3 linked regions of the Arabidopsis thaliana genome follow. The protein of the gene in region 1 interacts with the protein of each later gene in a biochemical or structural test. Each region holds a gene or a part of one and is shown in the gene's direction. Other genes may lie near its edges. The genes, in order: EIR1, CRK5 and D6PK.

What was found.
Region 2: of the proteins of EIR1 (region 1) and CRK5, one has a biochemical effect on the other in vitro, tested with the Arabidopsis thaliana proteins (one study listed by BioGRID).
Region 3: of the proteins of EIR1 (region 1) and D6PK, one has a biochemical effect on the other in vitro, tested with the Arabidopsis thaliana proteins (one study listed by BioGRID).

What each region holds. Positions count from the first base shown.
Region 1 is NC_003076.8:23,096,481-23,109,037, forward strand, and holds EIR1 (Auxin efflux carrier family protein), read left to right. Parts: upstream 1-4,035; 5' UTR 4,036-4,284; coding exon 4,285-4,554; exon of another isoform or gene 4,555-4,705; intron 4,706-4,802; coding exon 4,803-5,105; intron 5,106-5,485; coding exon 5,486-5,930; intron 5,931-6,327; coding exon 6,328-6,597; intron 6,598-6,895; coding exon 6,896-7,163; intron 7,164-7,250; coding exon 7,251-7,336; intron 7,337-7,411; coding exon 7,412-7,569; intron 7,570-7,692; coding exon 7,693-7,769; intron 7,770-7,909; coding exon 7,910-7,976; 3' UTR 7,977-8,748; downstream 8,749-12,557. Other genes in the region: AT5G57070 (hydroxyproline-rich glycoprotein family protein), read left to right, coding at 1-1,468; AT5G57080 (uncharacterized protein), read left to right, coding at 2,479-2,604, 2,826-2,888; AT5G57100 (Nucleotide/sugar transporter family protein), read right to left, coding at 10,083-10,362, 10,468-10,638, 10,737-10,903, 11,020-11,113, 11,208-11,416, 11,515-11,675, 11,870-11,960. UniProt on the Arabidopsis thaliana protein: Acts as a component of the auxin efflux carrier. Seems to be involved in the root-specific auxin transport, and mediates the root gravitropism. Its particular localization suggests a role in the translocation of auxin towards the elongation zone.
Region 2 is NC_003075.7:12,116,087-12,126,365, reverse strand, and holds CRK5 (cysteine-rich RLK (RECEPTOR-like protein kinase) 5), read left to right. Parts: upstream 1-6,151; 5' UTR 6,152-6,231; coding exon 6,232-7,048; intron 7,049-7,123; coding exon 7,124-7,264; intron 7,265-7,334; coding exon 7,335-7,456; intron 7,457-7,545; coding exon 7,546-7,756; intron 7,757-7,830; coding exon 7,831-8,068; intron 8,069-8,140; coding exon 8,141-8,294; coding exon of another isoform or gene 8,295-8,333; exon of another isoform or gene 8,334-8,369; coding exon 8,370-8,678; 3' UTR 8,679-8,875; downstream 8,876-10,279. Other genes in the region: CRK7 (cysteine-rich RLK (RECEPTOR-like protein kinase) 7), read right to left, coding at 1-635; CRK6 (cysteine-rich RLK (RECEPTOR-like protein kinase) 6), read right to left, coding at 2,329-2,652, 2,739-2,907, 2,981-3,218, 3,311-3,521, 3,622-3,743, 3,847-3,981, 4,126-4,969. UniProt on the Arabidopsis thaliana protein: Involved in multiple distinct defense responses. May function as a disease resistance (R) protein.
Region 3 is NC_003076.8:22,636,108-22,646,316, reverse strand, and holds D6PK (D6 protein kinase), read left to right. Parts: upstream 1-3,902; 5' UTR 3,903-4,208; exon of another isoform or gene 4,209-4,454; intron 4,455-4,571; 5' UTR 4,572-4,682; coding exon 4,683-5,317; intron 5,318-5,400; coding exon 5,401-6,262; 3' UTR 6,263-6,504; downstream 6,505-10,209. Other genes in the region: OLI2 (S-adenosyl-L-methionine-dependent methyltransferases superfamily protein), read left to right, coding at 102-421, 527-575; AT5G55900 (Sucrase/ferredoxin-like family protein), read right to left, coding at 6,715-7,138, 7,223-7,306, 7,408-7,713, 7,790-7,875, 8,364-8,705.

The sequences.
Region 1 (12,557 bases):
TAGACGAAACGACGACGGATTGTCTTCGGAGTCTTTACACGGCGGAGAAGAAGAAGAAGTAGGAGGAGGAGCCGTTACGAATGGTGAAATGACCGTCGGTGAGATTAGCAAAATCTCATCCTCGTCGTCGACGGTTTCAGAGCAGTGGTTTGATGACGTGTATGATTCTGATAGGCTTAAGATCTATGAGAGTGTAAGTAGTCGAAGTTTTTCTCATGGATTACCGGTTACCGGGAATGTACCGTTGAGGCGTAGTAGTAGCTCTTATCCTGATCTCAGACAAGGAGTTTTTAGAGAAACTGGCGATCGACGGTTCCGGTTTTATGATGATTTCGAAATCGATAAGTACCGATCGCAGGATTCGAGTTCTTACCAACAATTTCAGAATCTTTCTAAAACTGAAATCGAGGAAGAAGAATCTGAGCCTAAAGAGATTCAGATTGATACGTTCGTTGTAAAACCGTCTTCTCCGCCGCAACAACCACCGGCAACACCACCACCTCCTCCCCCACCTCCGCCGGTTGAAGTTCCGCAGAAACCGAGAAGGACTCATCGTTCTGTTAGAAACAGAGATTTACAAGAAAACGCCAAACGCAGTGAGACTAAGTTTAAACGAACGTTTCAGCCTCCGCCGTCACCACCGCCTCCACCGCCCCCACCACCTCCTCAGCCGCTTATAGCCGCTACGCCACCAAGAAAACAAGGAACTCTTCAAAGAAGAAAGAGCAATGCGGCGAAAGAGATTAAAATGGTTTTCGCTTCTCTGTATAATCAAGGGAAGAAGAAGAAGAAGCTTCAGAAATCGAAGAGAAAAGAGAGAATCGAATCTTCTCCGATGGTGGAAGATGTAACGGAACCACCGCAATACCAATCGTTAATCCCACCACCGTCTCCGCCTCCTCCTCCACCACCACCTCCGCCTCCATTGCGATCGTCACAATCAGTATTCTACGGATTGTTCAAGAAAGGAGTTAAGAGCAACAAAAAGATTCATTCCGTTCCGGCGCCGCCTCCACCTCCACCGCCGAGATATACCCAATTTGATCCTCAGACACCACCACGGAGAGTGAAATCCGGAAGACCTCCGCGTCCGACGAAACCGAAGAATTTCAATGAAGAGAACAACGGCCAAGGATCTCCGTTAATCCAAATTACGCCTCCACCTCCACCACCGCCTCCGTTTAGAGTTCCGCCGCTAAAATATGTCGTGAGTGGTGATTTCGCGAAGATACGGAGTAATCAGAGCTCTAGATGTAGCTCCCCTGAACGGGAAGTGTTCGATATCGGTTGGGGTCTAGAACTCACACAATCTGATGGCGGAGTTGAGACTAAAGCTGCCGTCAGCGGCGGCGGTATGCCGGGATTCTGCCCAAGCCCGGACGTTGATACGAAAGCCGACAATTTCATTGCCAGGCTTAGAGATGAGTGGAGGCTCGATAAGATCAATTCCGTGAATAGAAAGAGGTAACTGGGCTTTTTAAGGCCTATTATTAGGCCCATTACGAAAACGGCGTAGGTTTCAACCTCTTATGCCCTGCAAGGCTGTGCAATGCACAAGGATCTCATACGAGAAACATCTTCAAGGGAAGTCGGTAAAAATTGTTGGAGATATTTTATATTTGATTGGCGAAATTCGTTGTGATTTTAAGCAATGTGCAGCAAGGACTCGAGTTCAAAAGTTACGGGTAATATTGGCATTATTGGTATAGTTATTAGTGGTAAATGGTTTCAAACTGGCTGGTTAGTTTTTTGGGTTTAACCGGTTGAGGGATTTTGCTTTGGTGTGTTTTGATTATTCGGTTTGAACTTTGGAGTGTCAGATGAAAACTCAATAACTTCGGTGTTGAATGTTTTATATTTTGGTTGGTACGCATTGATGTATGTACAATGTATGGCCCATTGATATGAAAATATAGTTGTGGGCTCTGAGTTTTGTTGGGCCTACCTCTTGTGACCTTTCCCTCTCCCTTACAAGCAATTCTTCTTCAAGTTGGTTGATGATTGTCATAATGACTGGTTGTCGTATGTATCTCTAAGAATAAATTCATTTGTGTGTTGAGTGAGATTCTTATAGCTTACTAGTAATATGTATATGATATGTCAACTGAATTCATGTTTTGCAAGGATATCATTACCAGTACCGAATGATGTGACATATCTGATGAGGTTTGAGGTATTGAACTCTCATGATTGTCAAGTGATGGTCTTGAAGCTTATAAACGATCCTCAAAAAAGTGTTTTGATATTTCCATAATTCTTTAGAGTAGCTTGACCTTATTATATAATTCAAAACTTTGGCCTTAGATAATGAGATTCAGGCAGGGAGGTGACGTGTTACTCACGCGCGAGAGCTGCGCGTTCAAATCATAAAAAGCCGACTTGCTATAAAAGCAAACTTGTTGATGATGGTTCAAAATTTCGAAAAGCTTTTCAAATTTCTCTTCATATCGCGCGCTCAGTCAAAAAGCAGAGCCAAAGATGAAGAAACCGTATAAAGGAAAGTTGCCGACGGGAACTCCGTCTCTGGCAATGTCAACACTCGTCGTCGTTGCTTCCCTTCTCGCCGGAGCCTCCGTTGTCCACAACATCTACAAACCAGATCTCGTAAGCTTCACCTTCTCTTTCTGTACATATGTTAGGGTTCTCAAATGTATTAGGTTTGCTCACTTTCTTCGTTCTTGATAATGCCCATAAGCGTGATCGGTTTAAAACCATTCATTTCGTTCTCTGGCTCTGTGATCTCTCTTTTATTGTAATGCACATAAGGTGTTCGATGAATTGCCCATGAGAGATTTGTAATCTGATTGCTTTTTACTTTTGTGCAGAGTTTACCACCGTTGGAAAGTAGTGAAGTGGCCAAGAAGGATGATTCTGTAAACAAAGTTTGAATCTTTCAATAGTTTCATCCTGTTTTATCAGGCTACATTCACTTTGGTTGTTCTCTTTCAATTCATGAGTTAACAAAAAAACATGGATAAAGTTTAAAACTGAGATCACTTATTAAAGGCTTTTATTCTTCTTCCTCTTGTGAAGATGTAAAGAAGAACAAACTCTTTTTAGGTTTCTTGTTGGTCAATTCACCGTTTTTTTTAAAGAGATATAAGAAATCGCGATGATCGTGTAGATGACATAGAGACCAACGAATTGATGGAGTCTTTGCTACGGATTGTGGAAAACCATGTCTTCGATACATATTGGAACTTCAAAAGAGATTTTAGTGATAATCTAGTTAGTATCTCCATCGTTAGATCCATAGGTCCATTAGGCCCAAACGCCCAATCACGTGGCGTGATAAATACGTTAACAATTGCAATATGAAGAAAACACGACAATTAAATATGGAAGAGAGGCTAATTATTCATCGGTCCAATTGCCAATGTCTTTGACTGTAGTTAATAATAAATCATTAAGAGATTTTCGTTTAAAAACAAAAATACACCGTTTCAAGATTAAAAGATAAGTTAATTACAATTGTATTTTTCCTGATTAAAAATCAGATGTTTACAGGGAACCGCAGATCGCTCAGAAAGTGTAGTAAGATGCTCGCAAAAACCATGTGCATGTCCATCAACCTTCGCCGTCTCAATAGCTTACACAAAAATCGTTTTTGTTTTCTTATTAATATAAAACCTAATCTAAATTTACAAATTTGTTTTCTTATTAATATAAAATCTAATCTAAATTTACAAATTTGTATTACACGTACAAGTGGATCCAAGTATCTGACTCTACAGATATTTTGAATCTAACATTTGTGTAATTATAATTTATAATCTCTGAAGCATTTAATTTTACTTACAAATAATGTTAGACCACGAGACAGAAGGTAAACCAATCTTCCTTATCCCAAGATAAGATTCTTCAAATTAAATATAACGGCTTTTTGCAGAAGTAATAAAGATAGAAGGAATATCTAGTATCAACGGAAAAAAAGAAAAAATCTAGAGCACTTCGAAAAATTATGGACCAAAGAAGATTCAGACTGAAATTATTACTGTATTAGTATTTGTCCATTCACAAAATGCCGAGGAAGAAAAAAGGCATTTTGGTTTATATTTTGTTTATTTGATATTCAAATGTCCAACGATCCTCTCTAGCTAAGCTTAGCTATAATTCAATGTTTGAACACGAATCCCATTATTTTAACACAAACAACATTAATTAAATATCGTCTCAAGGAACTTCACTTCCTTGTCCATAAATACGTTATTTCACACCACATATACTCATCTATATCTCTATTTTTCTTCTTCTTCTCTCTCTCGCCGGAAAAAGTAAATCAAAATGATCACCGGCAAAGACATGTACGATGTTTTAGCGGCTATGGTGCCGCTATACGTTGCTATGATATTAGCCTATGGTTCGGTACGGTGGTGGGGGATATTCACACCGGACCAATGTTCCGGTATAAACCGGTTCGTTGCGGTTTTCGCGGTTCCTCTTCTCTCTTTCCATTTCATCTCCTCCAATGATCCTTATGCAATGAATTACCACTTCCTCGCTGCTGATTCTCTTCAGAAAGTCGTTATCCTCGCCGCACTCTTTCTTTGGCAGGCCCGTCTCTTTCAATAATCTCTCTATGCACATAATCTATCTTCATTAAGTGATGGTAGTCTACTAGTAATTGCTATGATGGTCAATTTTTACTCGAAAACATATTGGTTATCGAAAGCTTATAGTATAGTAACTATGTCATTTAACACGGGTAAATATTTTAGTTAACATTTTAGCTCTTTTGTAATATGTGTCTCTAAACACACACATTCTCATGTTTGTGTATATATTGTGATATTATTTTTTAGGCGTTTAGCCGCAGAGGAAGCCTAGAATGGATGATAACGCTCTTTTCACTATCAACACTGCCTAACACGTTGGTAATGGGAATCCCATTGCTTAGGGCGATGTACGGAGACTTCTCCGGTAACCTAATGGTGCAGATCGTGGTGCTTCAGAGCATCATATGGTATACATTAATGCTCTTCTTGTTTGAGTTCCGTGGGGCTAAGCTTCTCATCTCCGAGCAGTTCCCGGAGACGGCTGGTTCAATTACTTCCTTCAGAGTTGACTCTGATGTTATCTCTCTTAATGGCCGTGAACCCCTCCAGGTATGAATTTTTCACTGATGACCTTTTTCATATGTTTGTTCAAATTAACGGACCGGTTAACTCAAGTAAACTAGAAAATGGGTAGTTACTAGTTACGACATGACTACATGTCATTTTGGGATTCCTTTTTGCCTATGTAAATCTATAACAAATTTTGAGTTTTGTCTGAGTTCCTTTTTCAGAAGTCAAAAATAATCTTCAAAGTGACGTGTTACATTATTCACGCAGAATTTAATAATTAGTACAATATAAGAAATATCAAGTTATTAACTATAGTCTAGTTGAATTTTCATTCTTTTTGTACCGATTCGGTTATATCCGGTTTAAATCACATCGACTCGAAATTCATCACCTAAAAATATGGATTTATCTTTCATTAGACCGATGCGGAGATAGGAGACGACGGAAAGCTACACGTGGTGGTTCGAAGATCAAGTGCCGCCTCATCAATGATCTCTTCATTCAACAAATCTCACGGCGGAGGACTTAACTCCTCCATGATAACGCCGCGAGCTTCAAATCTCACCGGCGTAGAGATTTACTCCGTTCAATCGTCACGAGAGCCGACGCCGAGAGCTTCTAGCTTTAATCAGACAGATTTCTACGCAATGTTTAACGCAAGCAAAGCTCCAAGCCCTCGTCACGGTTACACTAATAGCTACGGCGGCGCTGGAGCTGGTCCAGGTGGAGATGTTTACTCACTTCAGTCTTCTAAAGGCGTGACGCCGAGAACGTCAAATTTTGATGAGGAAGTTATGAAGACGGCGAAGAAAGCAGGAAGAGGAGGCAGAAGTATGAGTGGGGAATTATACAACAATAATAGTGGTATGAATTTTTTAATATATATATATATATATATTTATTTTTTATTTATTTTTTTAAAAAAATATATTTTGCTTCTTTATAAATTTAAATAGATATAAGAATCGATTCAGATATTATTATTATTTTCCATCAGTCACCGGTGATTATAAGTGGGATATTATTAGGTTTAAAAAGGTTTAAAAGTTAAGTAAAGAGTTCATCAAATAATTTTGCGTAATTATTTTTTTCTTTTAACAAAATAATAATAATTTAGTATATCACTTCCAAAACTCTTAGGTTTTTAAACTGATTATAGTTTTGGAAAACAAAATATTAATTTTGTATTTTGAAATTTAAATGTGATTTTTTCATTATAATGTAATGTTTTAAAATAAAATTTTCTATAATTTATGGTCAGTTCCGTCGTACCCACCGCCGAACCCAATGTTCACGGGGTCAACGAGTGGAGCAAGTGGAGTCAAGAAAAAGGAAAGTGGTGGCGGAGGAAGCGGTGGCGGAGTAGGAGTAGGAGGACAAAACAAGGAGATGAACATGTTCGTGTGGAGTTCGAGTGCTTCTCCGGTGTCGGAAGCCAACGCGAAGAATGCTATGACCAGAGGTTCTTCCACCGATGTATCCACCGACCCTAAAGTTTCTATTCCTCCTCACGACAACCTCGCTACTAAAGGTTTATTAATCTCCAACTTATTTCATATTTTTTTTTATCATTACTTGCCACGCTTCTATTTTTTTTTTAACTTTTAGGAAAAATGTATAAAGCTCAATATCGGTTCTAAGTTTTTTTTATAGTTTTTTCAAAGTTTCAAAACTTATGAAAACTTTTAAACTAATTAAAGTAGATTTTTATTTGGTTCCGTACGGCTTTCTATAAGTTAGTTTTTTGGTCGAAGAAAGGTCATAATAAATTTAGTTTAGTATTTTCTGTGATATTTAATTATAATTATATTCATACTTGGTGATGACAGCGATGCAGAATCTGATAGAGAACATGTCACCGGGAAGAAAAGGGCATGTGGAAATGGACCAAGACGGTAATAACGGGGGAAAGTCACCTTACATGGGCAAAAAAGGTAGCGACGTGGAAGACGGCGGTCCCGGTCCTAGGAAACAGCAGATGCCGCCGGCGAGTGTGATGACGAGACTAATTCTGATAATGGTTTGGAGAAAACTCATTCGAAACCCTAACACTTACTCTAGTCTCTTTGGCCTTGCTTGGTCCCTTGTCTCTTTCAAGTAAGTACTAATAATAATGTCACAATCATATAACATAACAATATATTTGGGCAATTGCTTGATGTTGTTGATCATTTTATGGGACAGGTGGAATATAAAGATGCCAACGATAATGAGTGGATCGATTTCGATATTATCTGATGCTGGTCTTGGAATGGCTATGTTTAGTCTTGGTATAGTTCCCTTCATATATATATTTAGTTATAGTCTTTGGTGCTTTTTTTTTTGCTAATTATTGATACATATAGGTCTATTTATGGCATTGCAACCAAAGATTATTGCGTGCGGAAAATCAGTAGCAGGGTTTGCGATGGCCGTAAGGTTCTTGACTGGACCAGCCGTGATCGCAGCCACCTCAATAGCAATTGGTATTCGAGGTGATCTCCTCCATATCGCCATCGTTCAGGTGATTACTCTTTAGTCTTATATATATTTCAATCTAACTTACAGTTTGATGTTTTAGCTAGTGATGTTGGGTTTCTTTGAAAAATATAATTGATAAGAATATATATAATTGTATGTTTTGAAGGCTGCTCTTCCTCAAGGAATCGTTCCTTTTGTTTTCGCCAAAGAATATAACGTCCATCCTGATATTCTCAGCACTGCGTAAGTTATTTAAGTTATAAAATATTTAATTTTCATTCTTAAACTTCATTTTAATACTATATATAAGATATTAATTTGGTATTCAAACTATACAAAGTTACAGAGATCTCCTAAGCTAAAAACTTGATATTATTTTTCAGGGTTATATTCGGAATGCTGGTTGCTTTGCCTGTAACAGTACTCTACTACGTTCTTTTGGGGCTTTAAGTTATTATCAAAACGTATTTGCAAATAAAAGGCGATACGACCCAAAGGTGATTTTTTTTCAAACGAAAAAGAATAATTACAAGAACGAAAAAAGACTAATTCCAGGTCAGGCTTAGGTGTATGGGACCATGCAATGTCGCATTAATTAAATTATAGCATATGATAGTCGAAAATTTAGATAACTTTGTATAATTAATTATATGCACATGCATGTACGTGACTTTGTAGTTTTTGTTACATTTATTAAATTTTTGGGATGTGCAAGTACAATTATTTACTATTGATTAGTTTTTTCTATTTATCGATGGTCGTGAAGCATGTTATTAAATTACACTAATATTTCATCATATACTAGTCAAGTATTACTAGATCGCGCAGTCTGTTTAGATTAGATCTTGTGCTTTTCTAAATCTCCATACAATTCTTTATTTTGTTTTGGATCAAATGCACTAATACTTCCACATATAACCTTTTTATTTCATTTCTTTTGTCTTATATATTTATGTTTTTGTTTGTATGTAAAGTTAATTATGAACGTTATTTTTTTTGTTAAAAAATTATGAACGTAATATTCGGTTGAAGCTTGAAGGTAGTCGCATTTTAATTCGATGAGTAAAGAACAATCAAACTTATAATAGAATTTAATTTTCCTTTATTTTAGTATATACTTATCTGTCACCAATAAGATATCACTCGGACTATTTTTGGAGTGATACAAAGAATTTGCGTGGAGAAAGAAACATTTCAAATGAAAGCACTAGTCTAGACAATTGATTGTGTAGTAAGATAGTTGCTGATGATAAGTTTTGCGTTATAGACAAATTGTGCATATCTAACATGTGTGAATATCTTAACGAGTGATCAAACTTTTCAACCAAACTGTCCAAAGTTTTTATGAAATAGAAATTATTTTTCTTCTTTTTCCTTGCGTTTGATTAATTATGAGCTCCTCAAAACGTATCGGTGATCGGCGCTTGAATTTAAGTATGTAAATGTAATGTACTAGAAAAGATGGCTTGGCTCTGGAGGCGTTGACTGTGTAACGTGAAAACGATCACGTGGGGTATCAAAACGATGAGATATACGTTGGAACTCGCTCTTTGGTCGGAACGTAATTGAACGAACAACAACACATGAGAAATTCAATAACAATTCTTCTCTATATAGTTGTCCTGACCTCTGACTTATCTGACAATAGATCTTTTAATAGTTTACACGTAAAAATATTTATTATTCAATGAAGTGCGTAAGAGAAATAGCATATGTATACTAAGGGTAAAAGTATTTATACGTTTTGATGTTTTCAGAAGGTTTTGTGCATTGAGTAGGAGACAACATTTGCTCAGTGACAGCTCTTGTCTCTCTAGGCACCTTACTATTATAATGTCTCATCGTGAATCTTATCTTGTATAACAAATTAATGTTCATATTGTTTCAAGTACATTATAGCACATGTTTATAAACAAACTTGCATAAATACCTTAGAATTTTATCATTTTTGCTAATGCCAAAAATTATCAGTCTCTTACTAAAAGCGATCGAAAATGAATCAGCGTTATGAGCTTCTTTTTTGTTCCATATTGGATCAAATCATCAATTACTAATTAAAAGCAAAATGATACAAATCCTCAATACGTAAGACTAAAACCGGCCCATTTAACAAATTCAGCCCATAAGGCCTAAATCATTTCATGACATTTTGGTTTTGTTTTGGTCTAAAATCATTTTTAAGATTGTTAATTTTTTTGCTCTTCTTATAGTTTATGTTAATTATTATAAGTTGTTTTCTAAACAGTTTCATATAAATTTCATCCTTTTTCAGATGACAAAAAAAACAGTTTCATTAAATTTCAAGATATTCAGCACATATACACCTCCCAAAATTGACAGAAAATAAAAGATACAAGAACATTTGATGACAAGACAAAAGAAAACAAAAACAAAAAAATGAATTGAAAGAGTTGTTGTCAAAAGAAAAGTTGTTTATTTTCAGAGATGAAATTAGAAAAATGGAAACAAGAATCATCGACAAAAACAAAAAGTTGGAATTAGAATCTAATGTAATGTGGAATAATCAAAACTATATAATACAAAAGTTAGCCTAGACTAGACAGCTTCGGAGCCGTAAGGTTCAAGATTCTTGTCATCATCCTTAAGATCACTGAATCTTGACTTCTTCTCCGAGAGAGCAGAAGAAGAAGACGAAGTTTTAAGAGATTGACCTCTCGTGTTAAGGTATGTATATAACGAAGTTCCCATAATCGCCACAAACGCACCGCCAACGCTAATGAAACCACTATTCGACCCGAAAATGTAGTAGTTTCCAAGGAGGAGGACACAAGTCTTGAACTGTCCTAGCACCACATGCGTAATTGCAGAAGTTGCTCTGCAATATATGGAGCAAAATTTGGACTTAAGGAACCACTCAGCTACGCAACCTTTAAATCCAAAATGTAACGACAACACTAATGTATAAGAAACTTTTACTCACCCTAGAGCTAAGGCTCCTGACCATTGAAGAAAGAATCCGAGAAGAGCAGAAACAAGAATGGCAGATGTGTTGGTTAAGCTCCAATTGAACGATAGAGCACCGGGCGGATCCAAGAACGGAATCATCGATACAAGAAACAACAGAGTGATTGGCGTCGTTTTCCACATCAACCTGAATTAAAAAATAAAAATGAAGAGATGGTATTGAGAGATGTTGATACAGCTATATGAATGAGTGTGACTGAAAACAAACGAATCTGAATCACATACGCCAAAGCAGTCCAGTTTTCTCGTTGCTGCATATTAGACCACAAGATTTTGTTAGTTGCGCTTGGTATGATCCATGCGAATGCTACACAAGCACCAAACAGACTAAACTGTAAATCTGTTACAGTCGCAACCGCAACTCCCACAGATACAACTGTAAGTGATACCACCTGAAAAACATCAGCCACAAGGTTACTTACTATACCAAAGTTTTTCTCTTTGTTAACTCTATAAATCCAATTGACTACAAACAAATTGTGTGATAAAGAGAGAAAATCTCATTTACCTTCATGAAAGAAACTCTCTTTCTATACCACAAGAACTCTGCAAACACGATAGAAGGCGTAACAGCAATTTTCGCCATCTGGTAGAATCCAACACTGAGAAACAAAAACAACGAAGTGAGAAACAGTATGAGACAGAGCAATGTATGAAAACAAGGGAGAGCAAAAAAAGAGAGAATGTTTCCAAAACCTGTTATACTTAAGGCTAACATTAGCTAGTCCTGTAGAGAGTGACATTACAATGCCAAGAGTATAGAGCGGAAGCAACGATGATTTCGTGGAAGGCGGTGAAGCAGGAAGGAGCGAAAAGGATTTGAGAAGAGCCATTAGTAGATAAGCTACAATGTAGTGAATGAATGTGAGGAACACTGGAAACTCAAAGCCTATATTTTTAAGAACCTGCAATCAAAGAAGCAAAAAAAGCTGATTACTTTGATGTATTTAACACTAATGAAGATGTTAAAATGAGAGGTTGGTTAGTTAAAACTTAAAAGTACCCATTTGTTCATGAAGATAATGCTAATAGCAACAACGAAATTGAAAGTAAGAGCAACAGTTGGGCCACAGATACGATGTTGTTGTTGTTGCTGTCTCTTTGGAGTTTCCGGTGAACGGAATCTGTTGAATAACGATGCTCTCAAGTCCTCCAATGCTTTTCCTGAATTAGAGAAACCATTGTTACATAATCAAAATCAACTCTTTGGTGATAAAACCCTAATCTAAAAAAATTGGGGGTTTGCTATGATAAGATTGGATAATCAATCCTAAAAGGAACAAGAGATGTTTCAAAGGAAACGGTTATCAATCATAGAAGTCGAAATCGAAATTGAAAGTAAAAGTTTTGAAATTTACCTCGTTCACCAGCATCACTGTCTTTGCGTTTGAGGATCTTCTTCACATCTTGTCGAAGCCAAGAACTAAACATCTTAGGTGTCAGTAACATTTGTTGCTTGTTTCAAAAAGCTTTTTAGTTTGAGATTCGAATTCGAAACTCATAAGCCAAGAGGAGAGAAATCAACACTGACCCACATCTCGAAAAATCGTTCCTTTATGAGAAAGTGGAGAATCGAAAAAGGGTCTCTCTGTGTGTGTGGGGGTACTGACTACTGATGTTGTTGGTTTCTGAGATTAAGATTAGGGAGAAGAAGAAAGGAGACAAAAAGAGAGAAACACGTGGCGGAGATAACGGGAAGATGGAGATTGAAGAGAGTATTATTTTGGTGATTTGAGCAAATCACGGTTTCTTCACCGACCATTAAAAAAAACACAGAGGTAGTGAGTGTCTGGCTCTGTCACTTGAAAAGGAGAGGGAATGAGTAAACCAAACACTTTAGTAGTCTCTAGACTCTACTGTCTCTTCTTCTTGCTTTCACGCGTGAATTTTTTACCTATTTTATTTTTTCCGCGTTCTTTATTTTCAAAATAAAATTATAGAATGGGATAAACATTACATTAATTAACTATTCAACCGAGAAAAAGAAAAGAATATAATAATATCAGTCGACAGAAAAACAAAGGAAAGCTCTTTTGGCTTTTCATC
Region 2 (10,279 bases), on another chromosome or scaffold:
TTCATGCAGTTTTGTCTTGAAAGATCAGGAGTGCATTGAACAAGCCCGTAGAAAGTCTGGAGTGCGGTCAATTCGGTCTTTATCGTAGAGAATTTTCTAGGATTGTCGGCTGCTTCGATGGCAATTTGGTTCATATTAGATAACACCAAATTAGTAAACTGGTTTATTTGATTTTGAATAGGAGAAATATGATTGGGGTTCCTCAAGATAAATTCTCCTTCGTTTGTAATGGCCGTCGATAGAATATTCTTGTGAGAGTATCTGAGTATGCACTCCTCGTAATAGAACACAGCTTCTCTCTGATTCGGACACCTACTAAAGGTGTTGTTGACGGCAAAGGTGACGCAGTTACGGCAAACTTCCGGCGAGACGTCTCCCCGGCAAAGGAAAAGTCCGGTGACCCTGTCAAGGGCTTGTCCCACCGTGGCGTTTTGGAATCCGGTGGAGTAAGAGGCGTTGCGGGAAGAGAGAGAGGACAAAAGGGTTTTAAGATTGGTCAAGTAAGTGCTGTTACTTGAGTAAGTTGTTGCATTTGGACAATAATAGGCTAGGAAACGAGGATCTTGAGCAGAAGCTCTGAAGCTAGTGAGGAATGAGAAAAGGAAAAGGAATATGAAAGGGAAGAGAGAAGACATGGTTTTTTCTTTGAGTTCCTTGATTTGAGTTTCACATTATGCAGCTTCCATTTATAAACTGACAAATTATATTCTCTCTCTGACTAGTGCTGATTATTTGATTAACGTGAAATATACGGTGGTTTGTTACGACTTTAAAGTCAGTCGTCAATCAAACTCAATGTACTGTATACGATTAATCTTTTTTATGTCATTTTTATTAACAACAAAAGTAAAAGTTATTGGAAGAAGACGTTGAGTTTAGTGTTTGGAATCTTTGGATCATTGATCCAAAAAAACATTTGTTGAGCAAAACCCAAAAACTTAATCATTGTTTCTCCACCTCTTAAATAATATGGGAGTTTGGTTTCAACTTTCAAGAAATGAGAGATTTTTAAGATTGTAGAGAGTATTGTAGTTATAGAATAATTTTAATATTGTAAAGGATATCCACAGTTTTTTTTTTTTGTTTTATGAATAAAATTTTACAAACAATATATATTTTAATGAAACTTAAGCCTTTGAATAACACAATTTTTAATGGAGTTTAAAAATCATGAAAATTAATAAAACTTAAATTTTATGAAGAATATCAAAATCCATAAAACAATAACAAAATAATCTCAAAAGTTGTGAAGGATCCATCTAGATGTATGAAAATATTTTATATAAAAAAAATTGAAAAATAATTTATAGGAAAAAGTGCAGAAGGTATGAAAAGAGATGTGAGTGATATAAGTCTAGGCATATTTGTAAAGTTCCTTGTTTCCAAAAAAAAAGACTCTAAAAATCAAAGCCTATTTCTTTGTAGGCGAACCTTCCACTGAGCGCGTTGATTGGTGCTGATTCTAAATAAGGCTACAAACTGAATCAACTAGGGTTGCGAAATGACTGTTTTAACTTAATAACTGTTCCGTTTGTTACTTGTATGGTAAGGAAGTCTAACGGTGCTGTCTTATTGACCCAAAGTTTCGGCGCCAAGCAGAATAGTCATCAACTTATTAAATAATATTCAAACCCAATATTTTTTATTTTTCTCGGAAATAGATTGATAGACGTCAAAACCTGGAATTTTGTAATTCTATTTTCTCTGGTTATCTCTTCCACATGTTTTATTAGTCTAACATTTAAATTCCTCGTGTAGATGACTTTGTCTTTCAAAATATTGTATTAGTTATTAGTTTACTTTACAACAAGAAAAAAAAAAAAAAAACTTTTGACGTGATAGATAGTTCACATTTCATTTACTTCACCACATTACAAATCATGTAAATCACCTTCCCACTGTACTCTGTTTAGTCTCTGTTTCCAAATCAAATGGTACAAGATCATTGGAGGTATTGCTAAAGCGATTCTAGAATGATTCAAGATCATAACCATACATTGTGACTTCAAAGCAGGTATATATCCTCTTGGCTCTTAGACGCTGAAATGAACTCCAAAGTTATAGCTTTTGGATTGCCCAAATTTTTAAAATGAACCAAACTGTAATGCCAACATTCCAAGTGTTCTCTCCCTCTCTCATTTTTTTCAATCGGTGGTGATGTTGAGACTAGACTAATTATTCATTATTAAAAAATCAAAACAAAATACATATGGTTTTAACAAACCAAATCAAAACTAAAAAATTATTAGGGTTGATCACATCCACAATTCTACAAATATGTAAACATTTGCGTAAGCTTGATTACAAGCATGAAGTTTAAGGTCATATTTAGCGCGGATATAAATCTGTGATCGATTCATCATCAATAGACGCTGGAAAAGACTTGGTCGTGGTAGACTGATCTGAATCAAGCGGGTCCTTTACGGCTCTACATTGAATGAAAAACCCTGGTTGCCGAGGCACTGGTAAGGTCACAGTATTACTAGTGAGCATCATGAAAACGGTTGATATTGCCGGACGCTTTGCAGGATCTTCTTGAACACATAAAAGACCGATATGGATGCATCGAACCACTTCACTATTCTGGCAATTCTCTGCTATAAGTGGATCCACGAGGTCTAATGCTTTTTTGTTAGTCCAAAGCCTCCAAGCCTTGAATACCAATCAAGCAATCAGTTCTAGCTAACATTACTTAATGTAATGTAAGAGAGGTATATATTGATTGTCTTAAAACTTACATGTGTGAGCAAGTCTTGTGCACCGTCTGACTCGCCGAAGCTGCTATTCTTCCTACCACTTATAATCTCAAGAACTAACACTCCGAAGCTATAGACATCAGATTTCATTGAGAATTGGCCATGCATCGCATATTCAGGAGCCATGTAACCGCTGGAATCCACAACAAAACTTTAGTGTATATGTTGGCAATGTAAAATGTTCAACATATTATAAGTTATGAGATGTTAAGTGGAAGACTTACTAGGTACCAACTATTCTGCTTGTGTTATCTTGGGTTTGGTCCAATCCAAAGATCCTAGCCATTCCAAAATCTGCAATTTTCGGATTTATATCCGCATCTAGGAGAATGTTACTTGCTTTAAGGTCACGGTGTATGATTGTGAGCCGTGAATCTTGATGAAGATATAGAATCCCCCGAGCAATTCCTCCAATGATATTGTATCGCTGCATCCAGTCCAGCTGAATTTGCTTTGTAGGGTCTGTGCAAATCCATGGATTACAGTTAAATCTTGAGATTAGCAACCCCAAGTTTCAAGATTAATGGTCAAAGAATCATTGAAATGCAACAGACCAAATAGTAAGCAATCAAGGCTTTTGTTAGGCATATACTCGTAGACCAAAATTCTTTCCTCTCCTTGTAATGAAAATCCAAGAAGCCTAACCAAATTTCTGTGTTGAAGCTTGGCAACTACAACAACCTCGGTCTTGAACTCCGCTTCGCCTTGTCTTGAATTTTTCGACAATCTCTTCACCGCAACTTCTTTCCCATTTGAAAATGTACCCTATCCGTTTAACTTTTTAATCAGCATCATCTCGTTATCCAATCAAAGAATCAATACGAAGTACTTAACCTAGGGTGTACTTGAAGATATTATAGTATACCTTGTAAACCTCACCAAAACCACCTCGACCAATCTTATTACTCTCTGCAAAATCATTTGTTGCAGTTTGGATTGTTCTATAGTCGAGCTGTAGTGAGTCTGCGGTTGCCATATCATCTCCTACTGCACAATAAACAGAACAAATGTCTTAGTAATCAGCTAAAGAGGCTGATGAATGACGACCACTAATATATCAAACCTAATTAAGATTGTTAGTAATCTTTACCCTCCGATGCAGATGCTGTGTCAAAAGTCTTCTTTTTCTTTTTTGCAAGGAAACAATAACCAACTAAAGCTATGAAAAGCAGAACAGCCAGCACAACAACGGCTACCACTAACACTGTTGAGTTCCCACTTTTCCCTGCTTTTTAAAGATCATTGGCTTAAGATCAGATAATGCCACAGAGTATAAAAATACAAAAATTAATCAAAACAACAAAACTTTCCCTACTAGTATTTCAAGAAAGCAGGGGAAATAAAAAGAGAGGACGGAGAATGAGTTCACCAGGTAATGAAGAAGATGATATCGGAGGAGTAGACACCAACGACTCCCTCGGTGGTGGTGGTGGTGGTGGTGGTGGTAGTGGTGGTGTTTCAATGGCGCTTTCATTGTAGAACGGGTAAAGCTCGTACCTTGCAGTACAACTCGGCCAGTAAAGTCTTGCTCCTATTCTGGAAAGAGCCATTCCATTGATGGAACTTTGCAAACAACTCAAGCAGTCTGCTCTTGTAAGATCAGGAGTGCACTGAAGCAGCCCGTACAAATTCTGGTATGCGGTCAATTCGGTATTCACCGTATATAATTTTCTAGAACTGTTGGCTGCTTTACCGGCAGCTTCACTCATCGTGGAGGAAACAAAACTTGTGAACCCGTCTATTTGTTTTTGATTAGGAGAAATAGTGTTGGTGTTACTCAAGATAAATTCTCCTTCGTTTGTAATGGCCGTCGATAGAATATTCTTGTGAGAATATCTGAGTATACATTGCTCGTAGTAAAACACGGCTTCTCTTACCTTGGGACAAAGATTTAAGGTTTGATTGACAGAAAAGGCTACGCAGTTACGGCAAACTTCCGGTGAGACGTCTCCGCGGCAAAGGAAAAGTCCGGTGACTCTGTCGGGGGCTTTTCCTGCAGTGGCGTTTTGGAATCCGGTGGAGTAAGAGGCGTTACGTGAAGATAGAGAGGACAAAAGGGTTCTGAGATTGGTGGAGTAAGTGCTGTTACTTGAGTAAGTTGTCGTATTTGGACAATAATGATTTAAGTAAAAAGGATCTTGAGCAGAAGCTGTGAAGGAGCTAGTGAGGAATGAGAAAAGGAAAAGGAAGTTGAAAGATATAAGAGAAGACATTGTTTGAGTACCTTGATTTGAGTTTCACATCATAGAGCTCCCATTTATAAGCTGATCACTAGCGTGTAGTATAAGATGGGTTGTGGTGACTATAAGAGTCAACAAGTCAAAGTAAATGATTCTTTTTCTTATTATTGTCATTTCTCTTAAACAACATATATTTTTATTTGGGAAAAGCCCACGTTAAAATTAACTTGAATTTGAATCAAAATTTAGTTATTTGATCAGTGATCCACATATCACCAGTTGAGCCCAATAATGAGTGTATAAACGGGAGCTCCTTAAAAGTTGGGAACCACTAGCCTACTACAACTTGGTATTAGAAACAAAAGGAATTCAAGAATGAGATTCTTGTTGTAGCAAAGCTTAACGCAGAATTTCGGTCAAGCTTCGATTTTTCTTAGTTAAATTACTTCCATTTTTGTTTCATAATATTTTAGTGCCTGACAAGTAAGTGTAAGATACTCTTGTCTAGAATTTTATTTACTAGAGAGTGAAAACAAAAGGGTGCAGAGAATTAATGGCTTATCTGCTGATTCTTACACAATCAGTTTGTTTTGTTGGAACAGAGATGTGATAAGTAAGTACGGTTTTCTGCAGAAGCAAGAGAGTTTGTGAGGAACAGAGAGATGAAATGATGTAAGTAGGCAAGTTTCAGTTCTTTGTTTCCCAAAATGACTCTAAAATTCTTATACACAGTTGTAAAGTTCAGAAGGAAAAGTACTAAAATATGAAGTCAACGACAATCTTTAGAGTCAACCTTCCACTAAGAGTGTTGATTGGTTTGATGAAGCAGTGAAGGCTAGAAACTGAAGCAACTAGGGTTTGGGAAGTTACTGTTTTAACTTGTAACTGTTCGTTTGTTACTTCTTTGGTAAGGAAGTAAAACGGTGTTGTCTTATTGACCCAAAGTCTCCGCGGCTTGCTGAATAATCACAAACCTATTAAATATCCAACTCCAATAGGTTCATCTTTTTCCGGAAACAGATTCATGAAAACTTAAAAATTTATAATTGTATTTTCTCTGGTTTTCGCTTTCACATGTTTATTCTAACATTTTTATAGTTGATTCATTTTAGTTAACATCAATACAAGTTGATGTTACTCGTCTAGTTGACCTTGACTTGCAAGATATTGTATTATTTTACAAAAACCAAAATTTGACTGGCTTGGCTGGTTTCACATTCATTCATTAGTACTCATAAACCAATCATTAAAAGTAAGAAAAAAAAAACAGAGAAGAAAGGTGAAGAAATTGGATAATGTCTGCTTATACCTCATTAAACTTTCTCTTCCTTCTAACCTTCTTCATTGGAAGCTTGAGAGTTTCTGCACAATTACAAGACCCTACTTACGTTGGCCATGTTTGTACTAACAGGATATCAAGAAACTCCATTTACTTCTCAAATCTCCAAACACTTTTGACCTCTCTTTCTTCTAACAATGCTTACTTCTCTTTGGGATCTCATAGTCTCACAAAGGGTCAAAACTCCGACATGGTGTTCGGACTTTATCTCTGCAAAGGAGATCTCTCGCCAGAATCTTGCCGTGAGTGCGTCATCTTTGCTGCTAAAGACACTCGGAGTCGATGTCCAGGTGGGAAAGAGTTCTTGATTCAGTATGATGAGTGCATGCTTGGATACTCAGACAGGAATATATTCATGGATACTGTAACCACAACTACAATAATCACTTGGAACACTCAGAAAGTTACGGCGGACCAATCTGACCGGTTTAATGATGCAGTGCTTTCTCTGATGAAAAAGTCTGCAGAGGAAGCGGCTAATAGTACAAGCAAGAAATTCGCGGTTAAGAAGTCGGATTTCAGTTCGTCTCAGTCGCTTTATGCATCGGTTCAGTGCATTCCTGATCTGACTAGTGAAGATTGTGTAATGTGTCTTCAACAATCCATCAAAGAATTATATTTCAACAAAGTTGGAGGAAGATTTCTTGTCCCAAGTTGTAACTCAAGGTACGAGGTTTACCCCTTTTACAAGGAAACTATAGAGGGAACTGTTCTTCCTCCGCCGGTTTCGGCTCCTCCACTGCCACTGGTTTCAACTCCTTCCTTTCCGCCTGGTTAGAGCTCTGTTTTATTTATTTACCTAATAGTTAGTTTGGTTTTAGTTCATGTCTAATCTAAGACTTATGCAGGAAAAGGCAAAAATTCTACAGTGATAATCATAGCAATTGTTGTGCCAGTCGCTATCTCAGTTCTTATTTGTGTAGCTGTTTTTAGCTTCCATGCATCAAAGAGAGCAAAGAAGACTTATGATACACCAGGTGCAAATGATGGTAAAGATTCCAAAATCTATGTGTCCGTTGCTTAAACTTTTATGGATTTGAATTCTTAAATATTTTGCAGAAGAGGATGACATCACAACTGCAGGGTCACTGCAGTTTGATTTCAAGGTTATTGAAGCTGCAACAGATAAGTTTTCGATGTGTAACAAACTCGGTCAAGGTGGATTTGGACAAGTTTACAAGGTACTACTACCGGTTCATTGAGTTTCCTTGTTACTTGCATAAGAGGATCAAATAAGGGGATGGCTCTGTTTAATTCACAATCTTTTTAGGGCACACTTCCTAATGGAGTACAAGTTGCCGTGAAGAGACTATCGAAAACATCAGGACAAGGTGAGAAAGAGTTCAAGAACGAAGTTGTTGTTGTGGCAAAGCTTCAGCACAGAAATCTGGTCAAGCTTCTTGGATTTTGTTTGGAGAGAGAAGAGAAAATACTTGTCTACGAGTTTGTGTCTAATAAAAGCCTTGATTACTTCTTGTTTGGTAAGATTTAGCTTAGGAAAGATATTTCCTTTTGGAACTCATGTTTTAGGTATTCTAACTATATGGATGTGCAGATTCTAGAATGCAGAGCCAGCTGGATTGGACTACACGGTACAAGATCATAGGAGGAATTGCTAGAGGAATTCTGTATCTCCATCAAGATTCACGACTCACAATCATACATCGAGACCTAAAAGCGGGTAACATCCTTTTGGATGCTGATATGAACCCGAAAGTTGCAGATTTTGGAATGGCGAGGATTTTTGAAATAGACCAAACAGAAGCCCATACGAGAAGAGTAGTTGGAACCTAGTAAGTTTTGGTCTTGCCATCTATTAAATATAAAAATTCTCTATTAACTCAAACATTTATGTATCGTGGCAGTGGTTACATGTCTCCCGAGTATGCGATGTATGGCCAATTTTCAATGAAATCTGATGTCTATAGCTTCGGTGTCTTAGTTCTTGAGATTATAAGCGGGAGGAAAAATAGCAGCCTCTATCAGATGGATGCTAGTTTTGGAAACTTGGTTACATATGTGAGTATAATAAACACTTACACTTTTTTGCTCTACTAAACATTCATAACATATAAGTCTTAAATTGTTCAATAGACTTGGAGGCTATGGAGTGACGGGTCACCACTAGACCTCGTGGATTCTTCCTTTCGAGATAGTTATCAAAGAAACGAAATAATTAGATGCATCCATATTGCCTTATTATGTGTCCAAGAAGATACTGAAAATCGTCCAACCATGTCAGCGATCGTCCAAATGCTTACTACTAGCTCGATCGCCCTCGCTGTACCTCAACCACCTGGATTTTTCTTCCGGAGTAATCATGAACAAGCAGGTCCATCGATGGATAAGTCTTCTCTTTGTTCCATTGATGCTGCATCGATTACTATTTTAGCTCCTCGTTAAAGACAAACTTGTTTCATAAACTAGAACTAACTGCAAATTTCAACATTTGGATTTTGGTGTTCATTTTCTAATACTCTAGGAGATTGTTACTAGAATTGAGGTCACGGTGTTTTGAATTGTTTGCACATAAATGTACAAATAATTTACAAGTTGGTCCCATCAATGTGCCTTGGGTTGACTTGTGTTTAGATTTTTGTTGAGTCAACCGCAAATGTTTACAATTATACCGTAGGCTATGGAATCTCTCTTAAGGCAGAGATTCACAATTGGAACAAACAAAAAAAAAAATGGTCCACGAGGAAAAAAAACAAAGATGATCAGAGACGAAGTCAACAAGAAAGCGAGAGAGAGCAACCAATATCGAAGAAGACGAATTAAAGTAAAGAAAAATGCCAAGACTCTTAGCTGTTTTACAATTATTATTAGCATCTCTTCGGTATTTTACAATTCGTATTTTCTTCTCTTACAAAACAACATCAAAATTTATTTCGAAGAAATCAAACTCAACCATCAATCGAATCGTATCCATAGATTTCACCAAGATGGGATACAAATTATTTAGATCCTTTCAGACGAAAAAGGGAAAAAAAATTGATGTGTACAAAATTACTTGAACCCACTCACTTTTGATGATCAATTGCTTGGGAAGCAAGCAGTCATAGCGGTGCCAAACCCTAGTTCTTAGTCCTTTGTCGAGAAGAATATAATGTGCATTTGTGATGTACAACCCCATTAAGATTGAGATGAAGCCCGTATATCATGGCCTCATGGGCCTCAGGGCCATAAAGATAGGAGGACAGCGATGAAATTGCTTCTTACAGACTAGATCAACAACTAGGTGAAGACAATATAAAAGAATTCGTTCATACAATAAATGTGAAAAACAAAATTCCACTTTTAAATAGATATTTAAAAAGAAAGAGAAGGAGGTAAAAAATGGAAATGAAGAAAGAGGTTTGAATGATAAAAAATATTTTATACTATAAAATTTGAATTGTTTTCCTTTTATTGGCAATAAAAGTAAAATTGATTATATAGTGTGAGTCAACCATTCATGTTTTTTTCTTGTGAATCTGTAATTAACTTACAACGATCCAAAATTGTATGAATTTTCATTTGCCATTAGTGCTAATGCAATGTTATTTGGTTTATGTGTACAAAAGTAACGTTCTAAACTTGGGCAGTCACGCTGTAAGTGCATGTGTTTACCTAAATCTATATATGGTGACAAAAAAACGGTGACGAGTTTTGTTGGTTTAGTGTTGATTTTCTCTATAGAAAAATCTAGAATTAGTGCAATTAAAAAAATGAATATAGTCATGTATATGGGAAGAGAGAATAAAATAAAATATATAAGAAGGAAAGGAAAAAATAAAATTTCGTTGATGAGTAGAGGCCTCTCCTAGGAAATTATGACAGGAGAAGAAGAAACTGAAATCAAATAGAGAGATCGTGGAAAAAGCTAAAGAATTTTCTGCCGTATATTGTATGTGTCGATGTCAAAGGAAGTGTGTACAACATGCAGAAGTAACAAATGGGAGAAAACCTATAAAACGCGTGCAAGCTTATTCTCTAAAAGTGCTTACTTAACATTTTTATCC
Region 3 (10,209 bases), 460 kb from region 1:
GGCCATTGTAATCGATCAACCATGCACTTGTCAATACTCTAATAGTTGATATAATCCACACAATTTGATGTAATGCTCTTGTGTTCTTTTTCTTTATACAGCTGAAGAAAATGAGCAACGTGAAGCAATCTTCAGAAGAAGGTGATGATGATGCGGTAGAAACTGTAGAGCAAGCTGAAGTGTCTAGTGATGATGATGATGAAGCTGAGGCCATTGAAGAGACGGAGAAGCCTTCTGTTCCCGTTAGGCAACCTAAGGAAAGAAAAGAAAAAAAGAACAAGGAAAAACTTGCAAAATCAAAGGAGGACAAGAGAGGTAAAAAGGATAAGAAATCAAAATCTGAAAATGTGGAAGAGCCATCTAAACCAAGGAAGCAAAAGAAGAAGAGACGGGAATGGAAGAACGAAATAGCTCAAGCTAGGTATATAAATATCTATCCCCATCCATGAACTGAGAGAACAAAATGCTTTAGACTTGTCTTTTATATATAGTTGCTTGACAATGATTTGTATAATCACGTTTGCAGGGAAGAGAAAAGAATAGCCATGCGGGAGAAGGCGAAGGAGGAGAAGTAATGATGATTCAGTGTTTTTTCATCAAAGAGAAGAAAAAACATTTGCGAAAACGTTATCATCTATGGTTATAGTAGGCTTGTGCCATATATTGGCTTTCTTGTTTTTGTTTATTCACGACGAGATTTGTGCAACGTTAAAAGCACCCAGAGTGAGCACTCTGTTGGACTCCGTGGGCAGACCACCTTAAATGTCCAAAAGTTTTGTTTCAGAAAAAAATCTTTTAAGAGAATCAAAGTTAAGTTGTGTTCTTGAGCCGATCACTAAATTGCTGTTATTTTTACTCAAGAACCAAACTAGGGGTGGCCAAAAAAAAAACTATAACTACTAACCTAAATATTTTTTATTTCGAAAAACCCAACATTTTTTAACCTAAATGTAGTTGGAACAAACCGAAATGAATATACTAAATTTTGTTAATTTTAAGTTCAAATGATTAATTATCAACTTTTTAATTAATTTGTTAATTCATCACTTCATATGTTGGAATTGACTCAAACCAAACTATATCAAACCATAATTGTATGAAACCAAACAAAATATATGAAATTGAAAGGCTCAGAATTGTTTCAGTTTAGTTTTTCTTATTTTTCAGAGAACTGTTTTTTAAAAAAAATTAGGGATTTGGCAGTGAGCTGTTGATTGGTTGTAAGAAGTTAGAGAGAGAGATTGAGAAACTCTCACACCAAAGTGGGACTTGTGTTGGAGAACATGACAACCCATTCTTCATCTATCTTTGTCAGATCTTGTTTGGGGACCTCTCAATTTTAATTTGATTATTTATCCTTAACTCTTCCTTTTTCTTTTTTTATTTGCATTATTCATTCTTTTTATAAATATGTATTTCAAATAATCGAAAATCATTAAAGATATCTAACTGGTCGATTATATGTTCCAATCAATCAATTTTTGTATTATTATGGTATGAATAATTTCATATATTTTTCTTGTTTACTTTCTTCCTGATTTTATTATATTCGAAAGAACATTTTTTTTGTCTGCTGTTATAAAGAACATTTTTGTAAGGGAAAAAGATGGTTATTTTATAAACAAAAAGAAGATAATAAAATAAATCAGGTGGACTATTATTTATAACTTTACGTCAAACAAAATCATGTGGACTATGTTCTGACATTTGGGTTGTACTAAAGTAGAGTGGATAATAAACTAATCAAACAGAAATTAACTGAAAACAAGTGTACAGTATATGACATATTATTGGAAATAAAGAACAAAATTACTGTAATTTTTTTTATAATATGCCCATCATAATTGAATTATTTTGGCTGACTTTAGTGAAACAAAAACAAAACTGGAAAGAACATTAAAATATTAAAAAATATTAGGTAAACGAATTTGCGTGTAGAAGTTGTTTTGATTGATAATAAATAGAAATCTCTATCATTATATTTATAAGTTACAACAAAGAGATCTAAACCAAACTCTAAACTAGTTTTTTTGGAGCTTACCAAAAAAAAAAAACTAGTTTTTTTGGACATAAAAGAACTAGGTATTTTTGCTATTTAAAGCATTCACAACTACCACCAATAATGATTAATCTCATTGTAGGAACACTCGAATCTTTAATTTTCACGATAAATCTTTTAACCATTGAATCTCTATGAATTTGTTAAGAAAATAATATAATTAAGACTTTGAGAGGACTCGATCTAAATCTAAGAGTAAACCTAGAAACTTGTATAAAAATGGATATTCTTACCATTTAAATGTTAAAGCATCCTTAGTGACAGTGTCCAGCTATGATTTAAATTGTAATGAAGAAACTTAGAAACCTTAATCCCTCAAGTATCATGGTAAACAAAACATTTTAATAAACTAAACCTTTTATTTTGTTATTATTGCAGTATTTTTAACCTAAAGAAATGGGATTATAATGAAGAAAGATTCCCCACTCGCGTTTCACGTCACAAGCCGATCGTGTAGCAATTGTCGTTATTGGATCTGAGCTTCTCGATTAAAAATTGACGCAGTAATTGGATCTAATAAGAGCATGAGGTTAAAATATGAATTATTTGAGATATGAGGAAATGAACAAATTATACCCACTTGTGTTCTTTTATGTTGAACAATCTTCTGGTTTGTCAACTACCTGTTGAACCATTTCTAAAAAAACATTGTTTCTGTTCGATTTAAATGTGGGGGAAAAAAAATAAAATACATGAAATATAATCTTAGAATCTAAGGAAACTTATTATTGGGCAATAAATAAGAATTTGCTGAAAAGTTTTAGGGGCATCTTTTGGAACTCTCAAGTTTCAAACAATGGTGAGTCTAATTTTAAATAATTGTTTGGTGTGTTTAGTAAAAAAATAAAATAAAATTAATACACATGACCAATTTACGTATTTGTTATTAGGGAAATTTTTTAAAGGTTTATACAATTTTGGAATGTTTAGTTATTTTTAAAAACTTAAAAGATTTTTTTTTATTGATTTTGGTAAATGACAAAAACTTTCACTAAAAATTTGAAAACAGAATGTTTGACGGATGCTAACAAGCTTTTAGAAAGTATTATTTCGACCATAAAATTGGATGAACACTGGATGTAAATGGAATTGATAACAAAAGAAATCGAGATATAAAATATCTATTGTTATGTCTTCATTCAGCTTATAAGATTTATCATCTATTGGCAATCCGAAAAGATGCAAAACTCTTTGTGATATGGTATGCGCTAATGTTCATTTAATGCCTCAAGTTTCACCCATTAGAACACAAGAAGAAACTTCCGAAGATGCTGCATGATGACGAAAACATACGCTTAGGACGATGTTTTCCAAACCGCATAAATAAAACAGAAAATTATAGTTTGGTGGCACGCATATGGGATTGTCCTTCTAACAAAAATGTGCATTCACAATAGTTCTTACTTAGAATTGCTAAACTGAAAAACTCGTGTGAAAACTTAAGCTAAATATGTAAAATCCATAAATTTATGCATAGAGGTAAACATCAATTTTTTTTATCATCAAGTAAAAGGCACATGACAGATTCATGAGAATAGATGAAAGATAAGAATGTTGAATTTTAATAATTTAAATTGATGTGTTTAATAATTTAAAGAATCAAAAAGGAATTTTTTTGGTAAATATATATAAAAATTTCTATAGACAATTATTTAGAAAATCAAAATATAAAGTAAACATGTAGGAAATATACAATAACATGTATCAATAAAAATTTGGTTGCCCTAAAAAGCCTAAAATTATTAACAGCTCGCGAGAGCATTCTTGATGTAAACATATGTCTTCCATTTTGGAGAAAACAAAAAAAAATACATTGAAATAATTGAAATTCCCTCAAAATAAAAAAAATAAAAAAAAGTATTCAACTTTTTATTTGACCCTCTCTCTCCTCTTCCCTCTTTTCATGGTAGACCCAATTCTCTCTCTCTCTTAACAACACTCTCTCCTCTCTCTCCCTCTCTCTATCTATCCCCATTTCCATGGAAGCAAGCAGATGTGTTCTTACATCTCTTTCTCTCTCTACAGCCTTACATGAACAGTGACTGTTCTCTCTCTTTCCCTCTCCTTCCTTTTTTCTTCTACTTCTCCTTCCCTTTGCTTCGAAAAGGGTATCTCGTGATCTTTATCGCTCAAAAATCTTCACTTTCAGGTAACGATTTATTGGGTCTCTCTCTCTCTCTCTCTCTCTCTCTAAAGCTCTGTTCTTTTTATTTCTTCTTTTTCTGGGTTTTATTCTCTGATTCTTGCTAGATCCAAAAGTTCTTTATTTTGCCTCTTCTTCTTCTTTACTTTAACGAGATCTGTTTTTACCCTTAAAGACTCAAAATAAAAATCCAAACTTTTTGCATGAAGAGCTTTAATTGATTTGTCACTTAGATTTGATATTTCAATTTGGGTAAAATTTTGTGCATCTACTTAAACTTTCATCTGTAGTAAGATCCGTGATTGTTGTTTCTGAGTCTTCTCAATCCAGCTTTAAACTGATGCTATTGTTTTGTTTTGATGACTATAGATCAGGCCACTCGTTGATGGAATCTGTGACAGTATTGATTACTAGAGAGTAAAGACAAGTTCTTTAAATCTCAGGGAAGAAGGAATTGGTGTTTAAGATTGCTCTGTGTTAATGATGGCTTCAAAAACTCCAGAAGGATCACTTACCAATTCCAGTCAAAGTATGTCAATCAACACTTTAGCAGATCAAGTATCTTCGAGTTTGTCTTTCGCTGATCCAAGTAGTGATGGCAAAACCGGTAATAGTAAGATCAACGAGCAAGGTGAGAGTGGAAAGAGTAGCACTTGTAGACCAAGTACAAGCAGTGATATAAGCGATGAGAGCACTTGTAGCAGCTTTAGTAGCAGTATCAACAAACCTCACAAGGCTAATGATGTGAGATGGGAAGCTATTCAAGCTGTTAGAACTAAACATGGTGGTTTGGGTTTGAATCATTTTAGGCTCTTGAAGAGGTTAGGATGTGGAGATATTGGAACTGTTCATCTTGCTGAGTTGAATGGAACTAGGTGTTATTTTGCGATGAAGGTTATGGATAAAACTGCTTTGGCTAGCCGGAAAAAGCTTCTTAGGGCTCAAACTGAAAGAGAGATATTGCAGTGTCTTGATCACCCGTTTCTTCCGACTTTGTATAGTCATTTTGAGACAGAGAAGTTCTCTTGTTTGGTGATGGAGTTTTGTCCTGGTGGTGATTTGCATACACTAAGGCAGAGACAACCCGGGAAACGCTTCACCGAGCAAGCAGCTAAGTAAGAAACTTTTTCTAAACTTTCTTTATCTAAGAATCTAGTTTTGTGCGTTTATATAACCTTAGTGACTTGCTGTTTTGCAGGTTTTATGTCGCGGAAGTGCTTCTTGCAATGGAATATTTACACATGCTTGGGATCATTTACCGTGATCTGAAACCCGAGAACGTTCTTGTGAGAGATGATGGGCACGTGATGCTTTCGGATTTTGATCTCTCCCTGAGATGTACTGTGAGCCTCTCTATAGTCAGATCAGCTAATGTTGGATCCGAAGGCTTGTCGAAGAATTCGGTTTCTTGCTCGCAACAACCTGCATGCATCCAGCAACCATCTTGCATCTCAATGGCTCCAACATCTTGCTTCGGTCCTCGGTTCTTCTCATCGAAATCCAAGAAAGACAAGAAACCGAAAACCGAAAACGGGAACCACCAAGTAACTCCGTTACCAGAACTCGTTGCAGAGCCCACAGGCGCCCGTTCTATGTCTTTTGTTGGCACACACGAGTACTTAGCTCCAGAGATCATCAAAGGTGAAGGACATGGAAGTGCAGTTGATTGGTGGACCTTTGGGATCTTTCTTTATGAACTATTGTTTGGTAAAACACCGTTTAAAGGGTCAGGAAATCGAGCAACGCTCTTCAACGTGGTTGGTCAGCCTCTTAGATTCCCTGAATCTCCGGTTGTTAGCTTCGCAGCTAGGGATTTGATAAGGAGTTTGCTTGTGAAGGAGCCACAACATAGATTAGCTTATAAGCGTGGAGCAACAGAGATAAAGCAACATCCTTTCTTTGAAGGAGTGAATTGGGCTCTGGTTCGATGTGCCAGTCCACCGGAGATTCCTAAACCGGTTGATCTTGAAGCTTTGAATCCTACTCCTACTGTGCCAGCAGCCGCATCTTCGAGTGTAAGATCTGATCAGAGTAATTATCTTGAGTTTGATTTCTTCTGAAGAAACTGTTTCCACAGTTGATGATTCTCATTATTGTTTCTTTGCAAATTCTGTTTAGTGTTTTCTACAAATGTGTTTCTTTTTTTTTCTTCTTTTTAATTTTCACGTCTTGGAAAAAGTTATGAGATTTGTAATCATTCTTCAAAGTTGTGAGACAGTCTCTGTACCATCTTCTTGAGTTTAATGTTAGACACGAACCATTGAGAATCCATTAATCCACCATATCAAAACCTCAAAAGTTCCTTGCTTTTCATTGATCTGAACTCTAAACCAAATTGACTAAACCCGTAATTACTTACAAATGGATATATAATAATCATATGTTATCAACAAGCAGTTCTTACTTAAGAGTTAAAACCCTCTTCTAACTCTGTACAGACGAAGAGGAAACAACTAATCTAAAGACTGAGATAATTACCATTGCATAGAAGCTAAATATAAAACACATAGCTTCATTTCAATTGTTTATAGCAGTTATAAGCAATAGCCACAGATGCAGCAGCACAAGCAACAGCTAAAGCAGCATATGTATCTTCTCTCTCCCAAGTCTCCAACCACATTGACATCACCGCACAAACCTTGAATCCACCAGAAGATCCATTCTCGCTGCTTCCTATCCGAAGAGATGCATTTTTTACAGAGGTTACTCTCTCCGAGGTATTTTTCTCTGTGTGAATCTCCTCCAGACAGTAAGAGGAGTTCCCATTTTGTTGGCAACCACTACCGTTCAGCTCTGGGACAGCTCGAGACTGGCAACAGATACTATTATTAACTGATTCTTGAGTCACCTCTCTGTTGCTGATCTTTTCGCTGTTTAATTGTAACCTTTGTTCTTGAGTTTTCTTCTGATCTTCTTCTGGCAGACCCATTTCACCCCTGGAAAACAATCAATAAGTGTTGTTTAAAGGCCGAAATTCTTTTTAGAGACTGTCTAAATCAAGAAGCTTTGATCTTCTATACCTCCAAAGCCGGTCTACAATTTCGCCTTTGTTAATGTGTTGCTCCAACAAAAGAGGAACATCCTCTAGAGTCACACATCCATACCTAAGAGACAAGAATTACTTAATAAGTTAAAACTCGCATAGAACTCTTTATGGTTGCACACTCAAATCTTTTTACTCCAAAGCTAGCCTTAGTTTACTTACCAGTGTCCTGTGACTCTCTGGTTGATATTTAATCCATAGATGATAACATCTCCAGTGTATTTGTGACCACCAATGTGAGAACAAGGGCTGACTGAAACTTCACCTCGAAGACCACACGAGTCAATTTCTTCTCTGAATCGACTAACTAGAGAAGGTCCACAAACCCCACATCGCCGGTCTCGAGATCCATGACAACATACAAAGACATATGAACTACTAAGAGATTCAGGATTTCCAGGCAACCACTCAACACCCTTCACAAGCACCTCCTCAACAAATGTGTCCACATCAAAATGAGTCAACCTTCTGCATTTTTTTGAAATTGCCAAAATGAGTTACCGTTTATTAAGAATCATCAACCACAATATTAACTGAGTAGTACCTGTATCTGATCATATCTGGAAATATCAGAACATCCCCATTTGATGTCTCTGAACCATCATGTCCCTCACATATTGTGAGTAAAGTCTGCAATTCAACGCATAGATAAAAAAACATCAGAAAGACATCTAAAAGACCCAAAAGATAGTTTATAACTGATGTGCAAGATAATAAGAAGCTACATTGTAAGTAAGGGTTCCTTCAAAGTCAGTACACTAGAATTGTGTATTCTGAAACCTTTTACAAACAAACTAACAGTTCCTAAGTTGTAAAGCATTGAATCTTGCCAATAAAAAAATGCCTCAAGAAAAATCCCAAATATCCTCAGGAGAAACGACTCACTGAGATCTAAGAAGCTCTTCACAAGACAAAAACAAAGAAGTGCCTTTTAAACTCATATTGCAGATTAGGAATGTTCACTGGCGAAACCTTTCTTAGGGATTTACTCTAAGTCTCCCCTAAGTTAGAATCACAAACCCATGGAGACCAAAACTACAGAGATTCTCAGACCTAAGGCTACTTAATACCACAGTAAATTCTGGAACTTTAAATTTTGTCCCTCAAAACAAAATCACCTCTTTCTTCATACTACTCTTCCTCGCCGATATAACGGAGGAGAGAAGCCTCGGTAACCGATCAAACTCAGAAGCTTCGATCCTCGCAGGCCAAACGGATGGTTTTTTGTAGCACAAGAAGACATGCCTCTCGTAGAACTGTACAGTCCCAGCGAGTTTATCAAGTGCGAAATCGACGTCGCTAAAGCAATCACCATCGCCTCCTCGTAAGCTCCCACTCTCGAAGCTACCAGAGCGAGAGATCGATTCTGCGAGAAAGCTAGATTCGGTGATTGGAGACGACGAGGAAGGTGGGTTTCTAGTAAATGTTAAAGGGTCGTCTAGATATCTTCCGCTTCCCATTTGATTCGACGGAAAGTTCAAACTTTTTAGGAGAGATCGAAACTGAAAGTTTTTGAGAAGAGGAAGAAGAAGAAGAGAGAGTAATAAAATTATACTATATTCTGCTGTTTATTAATTAAGTACAGTAATAAATAAAAAGTGTGTGTTATGGGACTAATGATGATCTTTTGTACCACAGTTTCGACACGTTTGGTATTCCAACAATTAACAATTTGGAAAACAAAATCAAAGGTGAAATCGACTTCCATAAATAAATGCTAACCTTTTGATTTTTTCTCATTTCTACATTTTTCTATACACTTTTTATCTCATGTCAACACACATAATCGTGTATTTAATATCATTACTATCATTCATCAACTTGGTGACAGAATATCAATCTACATATGATTGATATCATTTTATAAGGCTCATATGTAAACAATTTTTTAAGAAATTTTTATGTAAGACAACACGTTAACAAAAAAAAAAAAAAAAACTTGGTAAAATGTTTAGTAGTTTTAATGAACATAATAGAAACATAAGTTTGGAAAAACTGAATTTATATACAAAATGAAAAAGACCAAAATTTATGTAAAATTAAAAGGAAGAAATGTCAAGAGATTCGATATCAGGTAAGCTCGATTACTGGTTGTGATTATCAACAAAACGTTTCCTTTAATGTTAAAACAAAGTGTATTGACTATATTGTCCAAGGCTTTCAGCTTCGAGTTGGTTTTAGCAATTTCTATCTAAGTTAGTTGATGGGATTAAGAATTAATGAGGCCATTTTTAAAGTTGTTTACTTGTTTTTTATGAAATTAGAGTGTGTTCATTTCTCCAAAAATCGTGAGTAATCGGTTTGGACCGGACTTTAAAAAGTGATTCTTACCAAATAGTGAGAGTTTAGGTTGTGGTTTAGCTTTAGCTTTATAAAATTTTAAAACTCTTCTCATTACCCGGATTTCTGTCTCATACTGCATTTCATTAGTGTACACTTTTGATATAGAACTTTGGATACATGAATTACCCGGTCTTGATACTTTTCCCGCGCGCTATTTCTCATCCTATATATTATTGGCTATACATTAAATTATATATTTCAATATATGAATTACATGTTTCTGGCTCTTACTCATTATTTCTTGTTCCCTATTTACGAAATTAACAGCCTTAATTAAATTGAAATAAGTGATAGAGACAGGAAAACAACTATTTACAAAAACAAAATGCAATTTATGAGTGGTACATTAGTGGTATAACTCAGATAACAGGAGGTTTGAAGTATTAACCAGACTTCTCTATATATGTTTATGGTTTGGTCATATACGTACATTTTCTTACAATCAAAACTAAACCAAAGACCAAGGAGCCATGGAAGATCAAAACTCAGGTATTGCTTGCATTCTTGATAGGGTTTCCTTCATTTGTTCAAGTTTACATTACTTTTTGTCCAATTATTCGAAAAAGTAGCAATTTTATTGTATCTCTTAGGGTTTGACTTCTAACATTTCTTACGATTCTT